Oryctolagus cuniculus: one gene and its partner. The protein of the gene in region 1 purifies or fractionates together with the protein of each later gene. This does not show direct contact. Links are inferred from orthologs where the notes say so. Each region holds a gene or a part of one and is shown in the gene's direction. Other genes may lie near its edges.

Region 1 (7,751 bases):
GGGGCGGGTCGCGGCCAGGGAACGGAGCGCCTGGCAGGGCTGGGTGGTCTCGGGGAATGGGCAGTCATGCCCAGCCTCCCTAGCTGTTCTGTTGTTGGACTGGGGGTTTCACTGTGCAAGGTATAAAAACCGCTCTGAGCCTTCGTGTGCTCTGCTCCCTGCTCCTTATTCTCCGGCGTCTTCCACCACACCCGTGTCTGCTAACGCCACTCACCCACCACATGGTTCCCGTACAGCAGCTGCTCCAGGATGGAGGTCTTGCCCACAGACGCCTGGCCGCACACGACCACCTTGCAGCTCTTCCCCATGCTCGGCCTTCAGCCCTGCGGTTTGCAGAACCCTGGGTGAGGTGAGGGAAGGGAAGTTCAGAACCCAGGGCAGACCTCCCATGTCTGGGAGTCGGAGCTGCAATGAGTGGCCTCAGGGGCTTGGCACCACCCCACCGCAGCCAGGGCCCGGCGCGCTGATGCACCTGCGTGCACTACTAGCCAGTAAGCGGCATGGATGCCTCTGTTATTCTCGGTGCATAACCGGCACCGGGCCAGAGCAGGTGCTCGGCAGCCATGGCCACAAGGGGAGAAGAGAGTCACCGGTCAGGGGAAGCACAGGCAGGGGAGAGGACGGGCCCTGAAGGAGCTCCGCCAGCTTCCTGTCTGCCAGAGACCTGGGAGGAACAGGCTGCAGCACCTGCTCCTTGGGCAGTGAGCAAACACGGAAGCTGACTGGCCTTCCTGTATGACGCACGTGGACAACGCTCAATCCCCTCTAACCTCCAGGGAAGCTCATGGCCAGGATGAGGCACATCAGACAAGACACGGAGCCGGGAAGCACAGGCATTTAGCAGTCATTAAGACACCACTTGGGGGTGTCTTGTGCTACAGCGGGATAGGCCACTGGCTGCAAAGCCAGCATCCCACATGAGCCCCAGTTCAAATCCCAGCTGCTCCACTGCACCCAAAGACAAGTGCTTGGGCCCCTGCCGCCCACGTGGGAGACCTGGATGGAGTCTCAGGCTCCTGGCTTCATCCTGGCCCAGCTCCAGCCATTACAGCCATCTGGGGAGTGAACCACTGGGTGGGAGAGCTCTTTCAAGTAAATAAAATTTTTTTTAAAAATTTATTTTATTTACTTGAAAGAGTTATAAAGAGAGGTAGAGCCAGAGAGAGAGGTCTTCCATCCTCTGGTTCACTACCAAATGGCCACAACAGCCAGGGCTGAGCTGATCCAAAGCCAGAAGCCAGGAGCTTCTTCTGGGTCTCTCACACAGGTGCAGGGGCCCAAGGACTTGGGCCATCCTCCACTGCTTTCCCAGGCCACAGCAGAGAGCTGGATTGGAGCAGGAGCAGCGGGGACTTGAACCCACGCCCATATGGAATGCCCACACTGCAGAACAGGGCTCTAACCCACTGTGCCAGTACTGGCCCCCTCAAATAAATAAAAATCTTAAAAAAAAAATTCAGTAAAAAGAAGCCATCACTTGGGACACCCGCAACTCCTATCTGAGTGCCTGGTTGGAGTCCTGCTTCCACTCCAAATTCTAGCTTCCTGCTAACGCACACGGTGGAAGGCAGGTGATGGCTGAGGTACTCGCGTCCCTGCCACCCACATGGGAGACCTGGATGGAGTCCCAGGCTCCTGTGGGCATTTGGGGAACCAATTAGTGGAGGGGAGATTTCTGTTGAGTCTCCCTACCTTTCAAATAAATAACACATAGTTTTAAAAACAGACATAAGACTGAAGCAATCTACGGAGAAAAGGCTTCGGGAAGGAGATTCACTGTGCTGCCCTTGACTGACCCACCATTCACTGTGCTGCCCTGGACTGACCGACCCAAAGGGAAGGCCCAGACCTAGAGGCCCCGGGAGGACAAGAGCTCTCGGCTCCAAAATGCCCCACCCCCCGACCTCGGAGAGCAAAGATCACTCCCAGACAGGGTCTCAAACAGGATTCTCTGTAGGAGAAGCTCCTGATAAAGACCCCCTTCCCGGCAGATTTCCCTAGGACAGAGGCCAGCACAGGCAGACACCTGCCACCAAGAGCGCCGCGGGGCGGAGGCCAACCCCGGCGTCGGACGACCCCGCCTCCCAGCCCCGTCCCTCCCGGGCCCCCAGCCCCCGCGCGCAGATCCCCGGCCGGGTCCCCGAGAGCGCCCAGAGCCCAGCCGAGGGGCGGCAGCAGGGCCGCAGGCTGTCCCCTCTACCTCGGGGCAAGACGTCCGCTCCGTTGGGCCCCGCCCCCGCAGCTTCCGCCCGGCGAGGCGAGTTCCGGCGGCGGCGAACGGGCGGCGGCCCACAGCGCCCCCGACAGGCCGGCGGGAGGATGGCGGCCAGACAGAGCCTGGCCTGCCTCCGCGCCAGATTCCAAGGTCCTGGGGCTTGTTGGACGCGGGCCGCCGTGTGGCATCTCTGAGGCCCACACGTTCTCGCTCTAAAGGCTGCCACAGCACAGCCAGCGCTCCGACCACTCCTTCGCTCGTCAGGCGTCTCCTGAGCACCTGCGCTGGCCCACGTGCTGGACAGAGCAGACGCGTTTCGCTGTCCAGAGCTAGCCGTCTAAATAAACCAGCAGGCAGAGTGCGGCATGGTGGGTGCTGTCGCAGAGGTGCCACGGGGCACAGCCAAAGGCGTCGGCCGTGAGGACTTTGCGGAGGAGGTCCCGCCCGTGTGGATCCTTGAGGGACCTGGCGGGAGAGGGTGTTGTGGGGCCTCGGAGCCGCAGCCGGAGCCGTGCCATTTCCTTAAGTACAGGTGCTTCGACACTGATCGTGGGAAGAAGCCAAGTCACCGGACGCCTTAGCGGTTGGTGGAAGACTGAACTCAGCAGTGGGAAGCCTTTGGTAGGTTTTATGCCCCTGGACTGACATGGTCTGTTTTTTTCTGTTTCTAAGGAGGCCATTCTGGGAGCAGGTTTAGCCCAGTGGTGAAAAAAGCTAGCATCCCTTATCTGAGTGCCTGGGTTCGAGTCCCGGTCCCAGCTGCTGAGCCCTGCTTCGGGTGCAGACCCTGGGAGGCAGCAGTGATGACTCAAGTAATTAAGCTCCTGCCACCCACGTGGGAGACCCGGATTGAGTTCCCGGCTCCTGGCTTCAGTCACACCTGTTGTGGGCATTGGGCGTGACCCAGCGGATGGGAAGTCTGTCTCTCAAAAATAAATAGAAAAATCCATGAGGATTTGTGAAACACCCAAGAAATACCCAGCAGATGGTTGGGTATCCAGGCCTGGAACCCGGAAGACTGGGGCAGTGATGACAGGAGTTGAGAGTCGTCAACTCAAAGCTGTGGGAACGACTGATTTGGCTCAGAACATAAAGTAGGAAGAGGGTCAAAGACAGGTGGGCTTCTTCTTTTTTTTTTTTTTTTTAATTTGACAGAGTTAGACAGTGAGAGAGACAGAGAGAAAGGTCTTCCATTTGTTCACCCCCAAATGGATGCCATGGCCCGTGCACTGCGCCAATCCGAGGCCAGGAGCCAGGTGCCACCTCCTGGTCTCCCATGCGGGTGCAGGGCCCAAGCACTTGGGCACTTGGGCCATCCTCCACTGCACTCCCGGGCCACAGCAGAGAGGAGCAATCGGGACTAGAACTCGGGGTGCCGGCGCCTCAGGCGGAGGTTTAGCCTAGTGAGCCGCAGCGCCGGCCAGAGGGGTGGGCTTCTGAACTGGACTGTGGACCGAGCCACCAGGGCAGGTGTGGAGCAGGTCTCGGGGTCCCCAGCGCTGCACAGCGCGGGCATTGAGGAAAGAGCCACTGGATGGTTAGCTAGGTGGACGCCGCTCCCCTCCCAGCCACCGGGCCTCTCCAGCCCCCTCAGCACTGCGGTGGGCAGGATACCATGCCGAAAGGGACTGTGGCGCATGCTGGTTTCCTGGAGGGAGGGGACAGATTCGCCCTAAGTTCCTCTGCCTCTCTCTTATCTTAGGTCCTCTGCGCCTTCAAGTATAGCCTCAGAAAGCCCCCATTTAATGCAGCTCCAACAATGCTCGTATCCCTTGCTCTGCCGTCCCCAGCGCAGACTGCACTGGGCCGGACCGGCGTGCCGAGCAGCGTTTATGAGATGGGGGCATGGGGCCACGGAGACCCCACCCCATGAGCGGCCTTATAAACTCCAGGGCAGGGTCCCGGGCGCCTCGCCATGCCAGCCTCCCTGGGCTTAATGCTGAGATGGCACTCCCAGGCGGCTGACTTGAAAGCGGCCTCATAAAAAGGGCAGCGTCATTAGGCTGATGAACCAGTTGGTGCTTGGAGATCCCGGGGGATGAAAGGCGCGGGGTGCAGACGCCCTGCGTTCCCTGGCTTGGTTGGGCAGGGCTTCCCGGGACCGATGAAAGCTGAGCAGACCGGGCTCGAAGTGTCTCGCCTTTCCCGGGAGGAAGCGGTGGACACACTCCAAGAGTGGGAAGGCAGCAGTGGGAGGTCCTCCCTCCCAGAGTCTGGGTAACCCGGTCCCCACGCACCCCAGTCTCTCTGGAGCCTCCCGGGAGACGCTCTAGGACTGCAGGTTGCTATGGCAACGAGGCTGTCGGACTACTGAGGCACGCCAAAGCCTAGAGAGACGACATCCTCCTTGTAACCACCCCCTTCCTACAGACGGGTAAAGTGGCGCCCCCTACGCACAGGAACCGTCCCTGGGCTCCCGCCCCGGCGCGGAGACCACCGTGGACCTCCGGGAGCGGGAGGCCGCTCTGGCCCCAAGCGGAGCCTCTCGTTGGTAGACGGGCCCGAGGGAGCCCCTCTGGGTGCAGCGCCGCTGAGCGGCTCGATGCTCCGACCGGAAGTGCTCTTCACCGCCTGCCTCCCACCCGGCTCTCTGGTCCCGGCGGTAAGATGGCGGCTGCCGCGGAGTGCGATGTGGTAATGGCGGCGACCGAGCCAGAGCTGCTGGACGACGAGGAAGCGAAGAGGTAACCGGGTGGCGAGGTCACGGAGGGGGCGAGCCTCGGCCCTGTGGCTCGCGGAAGCCTGTCCCTGCCGGGATGCAGCCCCCAGCTGTTGAGACAATGCCCCGCCCTCCGCGAGCCCCCCCTGCACCTGGGATCAAGTCCCGGTGGACCCCCTGAAGGGTGCTCCCGGGGTCGGCCTCCCCCCCACCGCTTCCGCCTGGCGGGGGAGCCGAGACGCGGCCTGGATCCTCCACTTAGAGGAGAATAAAGCCCTGATTGTGGCGGCTGGGTGTCTGAGGGGCACCGCGTCGGTCTGAGGGGTGGGGGAGGCGGCGCGGCGTCGGCGACGACTTCCTTACTTCGCCCTCGACCCCTGCCTCCTCGGGCCGGCCCGTGGGCATTGTCTGTCTGCGCTTTGCGTCTCCTCACCCGCTTGCCCCCGGTAATTAGAGCCTGGTGAACACGGGGTCCCAGGCGGACGTGGGAGTGCGGGATTGAGCGGGTCGACCCCTGGTTTCCTCAGAAGGCGGACATGCTAGAGCCAGAAGGAAGGGGGGTGGGGGGCTTGTGTCCCGTGTCAGACCCCTCTTCCCCCACCCTTCCTGGCCGAGGTGCTCACTCAAAGTTCGGCGGCAAGGAGGGGGCCGCTGCCCGGCGCCGTTGGCATTGCTGGGCAGCCGCAGTGGCTGGCAGCTGCCAGCCCCGACTGGCCGGGGAGCTGCTGAGTGAGTGGTTTTCCAGAACACTCGGGATCCCGGCCGCAGCTAAGGCAGCGTGCTGGAAGTGGGGTTGGGACGCAGTTGTGGGCAGTCACACGTGTTCTGACCCTACAGCAGAGTCGACGAAAAAGCTTCTGGAAGCTCGGGGGCCTCTCCTCACCCGCTGCCGGGCGGCCACCGGGCGCTCAGCCCCTTTCACCGCCCGCCAGGTGCTTTGACGTGGTTTGGGGTTATTTCATGAGATCTGAAATCAGGCTTCTGAGGTTTGTTTCTACCGTCCAGCAAGTGAGAAACGGAGGAGTTACGAGTTCCCGGATCTCGCAGAGCTCAAGCCCGAGAGCAGTCCGCCGGTCGTAGTCCGGTTTCTGACCTGCCGGAAGCCGAAGGGCCTGACAGCGTGCAGTGGCTTCCAGGGGTAGCAGAAAAGGCAGCGAATCTCAGTCCAAAATCTGAGTTTTCGTGGCGCTACCTGCTTTTCTGGTATTTAGCGATACAACAGACCTCTCCCAGCTCTCAAATTAACTGTAAGAAACTGCTTTACTTGTACTTGGAAAGTTTAGTGGTTCTTTGCGTTGTAAATCGGAACTGTGTCCTGGAAAAACCTCATCCTACGCAGGGTGAGTCTCTGGTGTTCGGAGTGTCCCTAATCTGGGTTTTGCTTTAAAGCCGGTCCTTTCCCTTTAAAAGAGCGCAGCCTTGGGAGCAGGCGTCTAGCCCGGCAGTTGAGACACCTGCAGCCCTTCTTGGAGTGCCTGAGTGTGCGCCCAGCCCGGCTCCAGCCCTCAGCTTCCGGCTAGTGCAGACCCTGGGAATCAGGTGGTGATGGTTCGGGAAGGGAGTTCTGCCACCCACGGAGGAGACCTAAATTGAGCTCCTGGTTCCCTGCCAGGAGTGAACGAGCTGATAGGACCTTTCTTCTCTGTGTCTTTATCTCCGCCTCTCAGGAAAAAAAAAAGAAAAAGAAAAATCACAGTCTTAGAGCTTAGAGTATGACCCATTATAGAATTTTGGTAAGCCAAATTGAAGATTATACCTGTACAAAAGAGGTAAAACTGTAGTGTGAATGTGTTGTACAGTTTATGGGGTTTGGTAGCAGTATACCTAAATCAGTGTTGACATCTGTTAAGTGCCTTATTTCATGAATTTAAGATGTCACTGATTGTAAAACGCCCAGCTATTTTATTTGCCGCTAACAAAAATTCAACTGTAAACTATGAAAATGCATTTTTACTATATTTGTATGCTACATTTATTTCTATAGAGCTCTTTTAGATATGATAAAACATGTTTATTGTGTAGCACTTCCAAGCACAAATAAAAAGGAAACTAAGTGAATTAAATAATTCAGTGGCTTTCTGCCACAAACAGCATCTGCAGAAGGGATTTTGTGGGGGCTGGTGCAGTGGTGCCGAGGGTTAAAGCTCTGCCTGCAATGCTGGCGTCCCATATGGGCACTGGTTCGAGTCCCAGCTGTTCTACTTCCAGTCCAGCTCCCTGCTGATTGCCTGGGAAGGCAGTGGAGAATAGCCCAAGTCCTTGGGCCCCTGCACTCACGGGGAAGACCCAGAAGAAGCTCCTGGCTTCGAATGGGCCTGCCTCCTGCTGTTGGGGACATTTGGGGAGTGAACCAACGGATGGAAGATCTCTCTCTATGTCTCTCTCTTTCTCTGTAACTCTGTCTTCCAAATAAATTTTTAAAAATCTTTTTTTTTTTTTTTAAAGAAGGAGTCTTGTGGTGTGAAAAATCCTTGTCTCAGTTTTCCAGTGCTGGAGATGGGGTGGAGGTTAGCTCTGCAGGGTCTGGGGTCACGGGTTTGGTGTTTCCTGTGGCCACAGCAGAGGCAGGCATGGGAACATCCCTCCCAGAGGCCTTTCCTTCTGGCTTGGTGAGAGTTATTTGACCAAGTTCCTGTCTGTCTTGTTGGGGCCTCCTAAGCAGTTCCCTTGGGGACACGAGAATCGATGGTCCTGAGTCCTTCCTTTCTCCCCTCTGGGCTCGAGTGCATCCTGCTGCTGCCGCTGCGTCCTCACGGCCCCGCAGAAGGCAGTAGAGGAGCTTCCAGCACACTGGGTGTCATTGTCGCCATGTTTTAGATGGCTGCTGTTCTGTTTCCTAGAGAGAAAAGAAATATATTTCAATTTTTTTGCCTGTTA
Region 2 (7,602 bases), on another chromosome or scaffold:
AGAAAATATGACAGTGCTCGGGGAAGCAATGAACAGTTGCTGTGTGCTTTAGGGTAAGTCATTTAACACTCCTGAGCTTAAGTTTTCTATAGAGTGTGGACAATACCACCTGCATTACTTACCTCACAGGTCTTTTTGTGATCTGTGTAATATGCCTGCGTTGGCATATTGGTAAGATTATTGCTCATGAGGTGGAACTGAAAGATAAAATTCAGGTTAAGTATTCCTAATACAAAATGCTCTGAAATCTGAAACCTTTTGAGTGCCAACATGACAGTCAAAAGACCTTTAGATTAGGTCTTGCAGCATTTCAGTTTTTTGTTAGAGAACTTTGGTGAAGTCTATGTAATTATTTCACTACCCCCCAAATGCCAAAATCTGAAACACTTCTGGTCCCAACCAGTTTTGGATAAAGGATACTCAGCCTGTAAAACGAAATGAGGCATATAAAAAGCACATTTATATATTTATGCTTTCAATTATCACACAGGCATTAATAGAGCTTATGTCTCCCACTAGATGATGCCATCCCACTGCCCAGACCAGGCTATGAGGCCTGTACCATCTCCTGCATGGTTATGGTATTGTTACTCACACATCCTTGCATTGGTTTTCCTTAAGCTTTTTTTTTTTTTTTTCCTGAAGCTTTTACACATGCCTTATTGCGACCAGAAGAGTTTCTTTACACTTGCCTCTGTGCAGAGAAAGTGTGAATGTAAAAGGCTGGGAGATTGCTAGGGAGTATCAGTAGAAATAACTTGGGGACACATTCAAGAGGGAATTCTGAACACTGGCAAGTTCCAGTATTTTTTAAATTTATTTACTTGAAAGTCAGAGTTACACAGAGAGAAGAAGTAGAGAGAGAGAGAGAGAGAGAGAGAAAGAGAGAGAGAGAGAGAGAGAGAGAGAGAGAGAGAGAGAGAAATCCTCCATCCACTGGTTCATTCCCCAGTTTGCTGAAATGGCCAGAGCTGTGCTGATTAGAAGTCAGGAGCCAGGAGCTTCTTCAGGGTCTTCCACGCATGTGTAGGGGCCCAAGGACTTGGACCATCTTCCACTGCTTTCCCAGGCCACAGCGGAGAGCTGGACTGGAAGAGGAACACCTGGGACCCAGTATGTTCTTGAGCAGGTGACTAAGTTGAGGTCAGGTGTGCTTTGGGAAACTAATTCTGATGTCAGCATGAACAAGGCAAATCTGGAGACTGGGAGAACCATCAGGGTGACTGCATGGTATAGGGAAGATATGAGAATTGGAAAAACAGAATAGATAGGTATGGCAGTCAATGCGTTGTGTGTCAAAGTGTCCCCTAACTGGGCGGTGCTGTGGTGTAGTGGTGAAGCCACTGCCTGCAGTGCTGGCATCCCATATGGGTACCGGTTGCAGACCCAGCTGCTCCACTTACAATCTGCTGTGGCCTGGGAAAGCAGTAGAAGACGGCCCTAGTGCTTGGGCCCCTGCATCCATATGGGAGACCCAGAATAAGCTCCTGGATCCTGATTGGTGCAGCTCTTGTTGCTGCCAAGTGGGGAGTGAACCAGCAGATGGAAGATATCTCTCTCTCTCTCTCTCCTCTTTCTGTGCAACTCTTTCGGATAAATAAATCTTTAAAAAAAAAAAAAAGTGCCTCCTAGGTATTTGTGTTAGTGGAAAAACAAATAGTTAAGGATTTCCCCCCCACTGTGGCAGGAGTGAAAGAGGAGGTGGATATTTATAAACCTGTTAATACTCTGGTTCCTTCTTTATTGTGTTTTTCCATCTCCAACACTTTCAGGAAATGTTCTATTTGATCCTGTAGAAGCCGATTTAAACAACAATACAGCCTTTCTCTTTCAGATCTACCCTAGCAAAGCATTTAATAAATCCTGTGTCTATGTTCAGCATTTCTTAGTTTCTGTTTACTGTCGCTCCACAGTTTTTTTGAAACAAATTTTAGAAAAAAATTTCCAGGGGGTGGTTGCATTTCACCACAGTTCCAGGACTTTGCGGGTACACGAGCTGCGCTTTGAATGGCTCGCCGGCCCAGGGACAGTTCCATGCCAGCATAGAAGAAAGTGACATAAATAACGGCTAACCCGCACTCACAGGGGAGAAGGAAAAAAAAAAAAAAAAAAAAAAAAGGGAAGTGCTCTGGTCTGCGAAGTAGCAGCTCTGGAAAGGGCTGAATCCGCAACTACCCCTGAGCAGTCCCCAAACGGTCTTCCATCTGGATGCGGCTCCGCTCCGCCTCCTCACCCCTTAGTAAGGTGTGTGTTCCAGAAGCCGAAGGCCGCGGAGACCTTGCCGCAGGCGGAGGGCAAAGTCGCAGGACAGGAAGCCGGGGTCTCCTTTAGTTTGCTTAGGAGACGCCCAGCGTGGGCAGCCGCGCACGCCGGCTCCGGGCAAGGCTCCCGGGGTGGCCTTCGCTCCGGCAGGGCAGTGACCTCCTCTGGCCCTAGGTCAGCAGTAGGTGACCGAGGGCTCGCAGAGCGGCCCCGTAGATGTCCAGGCGCCTAGGAACGCCTGCGCGCCCTTTTCCTTCCCGAATGTTCTCTGTGTCCTATAGGCCGCCCGGGAACAGCTGCTAAAGCGGGCCCTTAAACCAGCTTCCCCGGGGGCTCCAGCTGGCGGGGCCTGCTGCACCCCCGAGGCCGCGGCGCCCGGCCGGGGCCCACGCACTTCTGGCGCGCCGGCGGCGGCGGCGGCGGCGGCGGCAACGCGCCTGCGCACATTCGGGGTCACGCGCGCGGCGCGGGGGCGGGCTGGCGCCGGAGGGGCTGTCATTCGCGGCTCGGGTCGCCGCCCTTCGCTGCGCCCAGTGGGTTCCGGCTCCTCCTCCTCCCTCCGCCTCAGCCCCACCATGGTGCTGGAGTCGGTGGTCGCGGACCTGCTGAACCGTTTCCTGGGGGACTACGTGGAGAACCTGAACAAGTCGCAGCTGAAGCTGGGGATCTGGGGCGGTGAGTTGAGAGGGGCGCGGCCGGCGGCCGCGGAGGGGCCCACGCCGAGGGCTGCAGCGGGGGTCCGGTGCTCTCCACCCGCCGGGGACTCCAGCTCCGGAGCGTGTCAGGTGCGGGGCGCGGGGCGCGGGGCGCCTCTGTCCGCTTGTGTCTCCCGCAGCTTCCCGGGACTCCCAGGTCGCGGGGAGATGCTGCGGGGTCACGCCCGCGCTGTCCAGATTCCCACCTTCCCTGTCCCTCCGGTCCTGGGGTCCGTGCCTCTGCCTTGCTCTGCCCTGCCCACCTCGGGGGTCCTCCCGTTGCGTTCTGCCCGGCCCCTTTAGCGCCACAGCCTTACCAAAAAAAACCAACACCAAAAAAACCAAAAACCATTTCTGCGTGCGTCTCGGTGGAGTGACCACAGCTTCGTGACCATGGCCCAATAAAGTGGCACCCAGGAAGAAGAAGAGGAAGGTTGCCTCCCTGTTGTCTTCTTGGTAACAGGCACTGCAGGGTTTGAGAGGGGAGAGACGGGAAGAGCCTTCAGAAAGGCGTGCCCGTAGGGATTCCTACTGTTAATGCTTTTAGCTTTTGAAGAAGTCATTTCTTAATACTTTTCTCTTAACGTGAAGAGGCTTTCAGTTTTGTTTTGGAAGGATAGAAATTCAAGCCGTGACCAGCATCATCGTTAATTAGGTGCCTGCTTGGTTGCATGCCCAGGAATTCGTGCCAACGTTTTTTATCCTGGAGATTAAGTGGGGAAAGCTAGACAGTCAGTAGTATGTTTGCTTATCCTGCAAAGAGCTAAATTAGTTGCTTGAATTAACGTGTTAAGGTTTGGGGATATTGGATACTTTCTCACTCTAAAAAAGTTTGGCGGATTTTGTCACCTTTGGAGAGAAACCAAAACAACTGTTTAAATGAATGAAACTGCCTTTAATTGATCAAGCAGTAGTTACATACCTGTGCTGTTCATTAGCGGCCACTAACCACTGTAGCTAGTGAGCACTTGCAGTGTGTGGATCTTTTGAATTGCGATATTCTACAAGCATAAAAAGCACAACGCTTTTGAATACGTTTATTTCTTTTAATGAAATGGGGGAAGTGTAATATTAATAACTTTTGTTGCGATGAGAATATTTGTATTGGGTTAAGTTAAATGTATTATTGAAACCCATTTGCCCTCTTTCTACTGTTTTTTTGGTGTGACTCTTAAACTTTGTAATTATAAAATTTGTAATTATACGCGTGGAGCATGTTTATGTTGAGCCGTACTGTAACAGAACCGTGAATGCTGCCAGGAACTGTGGAGAGGACCCAGGTCCCTGATCATATGATTGGTTCACGGTGGTTTGTCCAACAATGCATAACTTTGTTTACTCTTTCCTCCCACCACTAAATACAATGCAAAAGGAAGGGAAGTGAAGACAGACCTTTACAAATTAAATATCCAGTACCTTTTGGGGAGATCAAGGGTTTCTTTGGAATATTGGCAATGTTACCACATATTCCTTGTGGTCAGTAAATGTATTGAAATATGTGAAAGCCAAGGGTTACCAAATCTGCAATCTGAGAAAGCATTGGGTTTTGGACCTGGTAGGTTGCTGTGTTGGACAAATCATTTACTTTACTCACCTTAGTTTCTTCCTCTTAGTTTATGCTTCGTTAGTTTATTTCCCAGCAGATACTTGGCAAAGTCAGATATTTCTTGCTTGTCACATTGAGAGATGTGTGCTGCTGGTACGTACTGGATAGAGCTAGTGACACCACACTGTAAACGTCCTCGTATGCAGACAGCAGCTCTTTGCAGCAAAGAATTGTTCAGCCTTAAGTGTTAGTTGAGAAACCCTGCTCTAAGGAGAATACTCTTCTGCTTTAAGAGGGGGCCTTCTGGGTGTTGAACCAACTATCATAAGGAGTAAATAAAGGACTTAGGGAGTATGTTGCTCTTATGAAATGTATAACTTGAGAGAGAGAAGTCTTTTTTTTTTTTAAAGATTTATTTATTTATTTATTTGACAGAGTTACAGACAGTGAGAGAGAGAAAAAGAGAGAGAGAGAGAAAGGTCTTCCTTCTGCTGGTTCACCCCCACAAATGGCTGCTACTGCCGGTGCTGTGCCTATCTGAAGCCAGGAGCCAGGTGCTTCCTCTTGGTCTCCCATGCGGGTGCAGGGGCCCAAGCACTTGGGCCATCCTCCACTGCACTCCTGGGCCACAGCAGAGAGCTGGAGTGGAAGAGGAACAACCAGGACTAGAACCTGGCGTCCATATGGGATGCCAGCGCCACAGGTGGAGGATTAACCAAGTGAGCCACAGTGCCGGGCCCAAGAGAGAAGTCTTAGGAAGTGACTGAAAGTTATCAAGTTGGTAAGAATGCATGATCTTTGGGTAATCTCAGGAAGTTGCTTACCATTCAGAATACTGTAACATGATTTGAAAAATGCACACATTCATACATGTATAGGCACTGGCAATGAAATCTGCAATAGGCAAAAATTATTCAAATGGCAAGAATCAGAAATGTTGCCTTTATTTAATTGTATTTTTAAAATGTTTTATTTAGAGGTTGGCACTATGGCATAGCAGGTAAAGCTGCCGCCTGCAGTGCCAGCATCTCATGTGGGTGCCGGTTTGAGTCCCGACTGCTCCACTTCTGATCCGGCTCTCTGCTGTGGCCTGGGAAAGCAGTAGAAGGTGGCACAAGTCCTTGGGCCGCTTCACCCACGCAGAAGAAGCTCCTGGCTCCTGGCTTCAGATCAGCCCAACTCTGGCCATTGCAGCCATCTCGGGAGTGAACCAGTGGATGGAAGACTTCTCTCTTTCTTTCTGCCTCTGCCTCTGTGTAACTGTCTTTCAAATAAATAAATAAATCTAAAAAAAATTTAAATGTTTTATTTATTTATTTGAAAGGCAGAGTGATGACTGTGTGGAGGGAGGGAGAAGGAGAAAGGAAGGGAGAGAGAGCAACAGGGAGAGATCTTCCCAATTGCTGGTTTGCTCCCCAAATCCCCGTAATGGCTTGGGCTGTGCCAGGCTGAAGCCAGGAACCCTGAACTCCAGCTTGGTCTCCTGTCTGGGTGGCAGGGATCTAAGTGCTTGGATATCACCTGCTGCCTCTCAGGGCGTGCATTTGCAGGAAGCAGAGCAGGGACTCCAACCTAGGCACTCTAATACGGGACATTTGCCTGCCACGCAGTGTCTTAACTGCTGTTCCCAACACCCACCCCCCAGATAGTGCCTTTAAGTTGGAGCTGAGAAAAACAAACAAAACAGCTGCCATCTTTTTTCCTGTTTCTACTTTTTTTTTTCTTTTAAAGATTTATTTATTTATTTGAAAGGCAGAGTTACAGAGAGGCAGAGGCACAGAGAGAGAGAGATCTTCCATCCACAGGTTTACTCGCCAAATGGCTGCAACGGCCGGAGCTGCACTGATCCGAAGCCAGGAGTCAGGAGCTTCTTCTGGGTCTCCCACACCGGTGCAGGAGCCCAAGGACTTGGGCCGTTTTCTTCTGCTTTCCCAGACCATAGCAGAGAGCGGGATTGGAAGTGGAGCAGCTGGGACCTGAACCGGTGCCCATTTGGGATGCTGGTGTTACAGGCGGCTGCTTTACCCACTATGCCACAGCGCCAGCCCCAAAATATTTTAATTCTTTAAGTCTCCATCTCCTAATATGCAGAAAGGATGTGTAACATGGTATTTATGATTTAAATGATATGAAAATTCTTTATATTTGTTAATAATGCAGTACTGATGATAAACCTTGCAAAATGATGGAAAAAAAGCCTATTTTGTTTTATTTTGCTTTCATAAGTATGCTTCTTCTACCTTCAGCCTTTGGGAGTTTTATATCGTATATAGAGTGACAATTTTGTGTAGAGTTAACATTAAGTATATAAACATTTCTTATTTTACAAACAGATTTCTTAAAGGACAAAAAAAGCTTTTTGAATTTGAGTTTATGCTGAGACTACTTCTGTTACCTGCCAGCCAGTTTGTACATCAGGTTTTGAAAGGCTCAAAGTGCCTGGTACACATGTGCTGCCTACGCAGGCAGGCAGGATTATCTGGGTTTTTGTCTCCCAGAGACTGGTAGCAGGAGATAAATTGCATAGCCCTCAGCTATTTGCAAGGCGTCCAATATGTAATTGTTTTTGAGAGTCACACATTTGAGAAGGTATGTTGAAATGCTGTATCTTTTGTAATTTGGTTTAAGTAGTATTGTTGGATCACAGACCTTTGTCAGTTTGATTTTTCAGTGATTTGCTGTGGAAGGGCAGGAGAAGCCTCCACTCAGAACTCTGTTGTTCTCACTTGCATTGTACAGGTGGAATAAACACAGAGGCCATGATGTGCTGGGGGCAGTGCTTGGCTGTAGAGACCAGGAATCGGAACCTCAGAGTGTGTAGCTCTGCAAACCAGACTGAGCCTGTGCTGTTTCCTGTATTGTCCGTCCTCCTCCTGACACTTCTCCATCAGCTGCCAGATGCAGACTGAATTTCCCTTTTCAAAATGCCTGGGGCCAGAAATATTTTGGGTTTCAGATTTTTAAAACTTTTAGAATATTTGCATATGCATAATGAGATGTTTTTGGGAATGAGACCTAAGTTTTAACACAGAATTCATTTATGTTTTTTAAAAACCTCATATACAAATGCTGAAGGTAATTTAATGCAGTATTTTTAGT

Evidence for each region. Proteins that work in one complex are often made in the same cells at the same time.
Region 2: the proteins of DNAJC7 (region 1) and VPS13C purify together in Homo sapiens (co-immunoprecipitation; 4 studies listed by BioGRID and IntAct, counting the BioPlex papers as one, with this or other methods). This does not show direct contact. The link is inferred for Oryctolagus cuniculus from reciprocal best matches to the Homo sapiens genes DNAJC7 and VPS13C.

The regions. Positions count from the first base shown.
Region 1 is NC_091448.1:20,736,913-20,744,663, forward strand, and holds the start of DNAJC7 (dnaJ homolog subfamily C member 7), read left to right. Parts: upstream 1-3,343; 5' UTR 3,344-4,822; coding exon 4,823-4,899; intron 4,900-7,751. Other genes in the region: NKIRAS2 (NF-kappa-B inhibitor-interacting Ras-like protein 2), read right to left, coding at 215-308. UniProt on the Homo sapiens protein: Acts as a co-chaperone regulating the molecular chaperones HSP70 and HSP90 in folding of steroid receptors, such as the glucocorticoid receptor and the progesterone receptor.
Region 2 is NC_091443.1:85,081,023-85,088,624, reverse strand, and holds the start of VPS13C (intermembrane lipid transfer protein VPS13C), read left to right. Parts: upstream 1-2,708; 5' UTR 2,709-2,837; coding exon 2,838-2,937; intron 2,938-7,602. UniProt on the Homo sapiens protein: Mediates the transfer of lipids between membranes at organelle contact sites. Necessary for proper mitochondrial function and maintenance of mitochondrial transmembrane potential.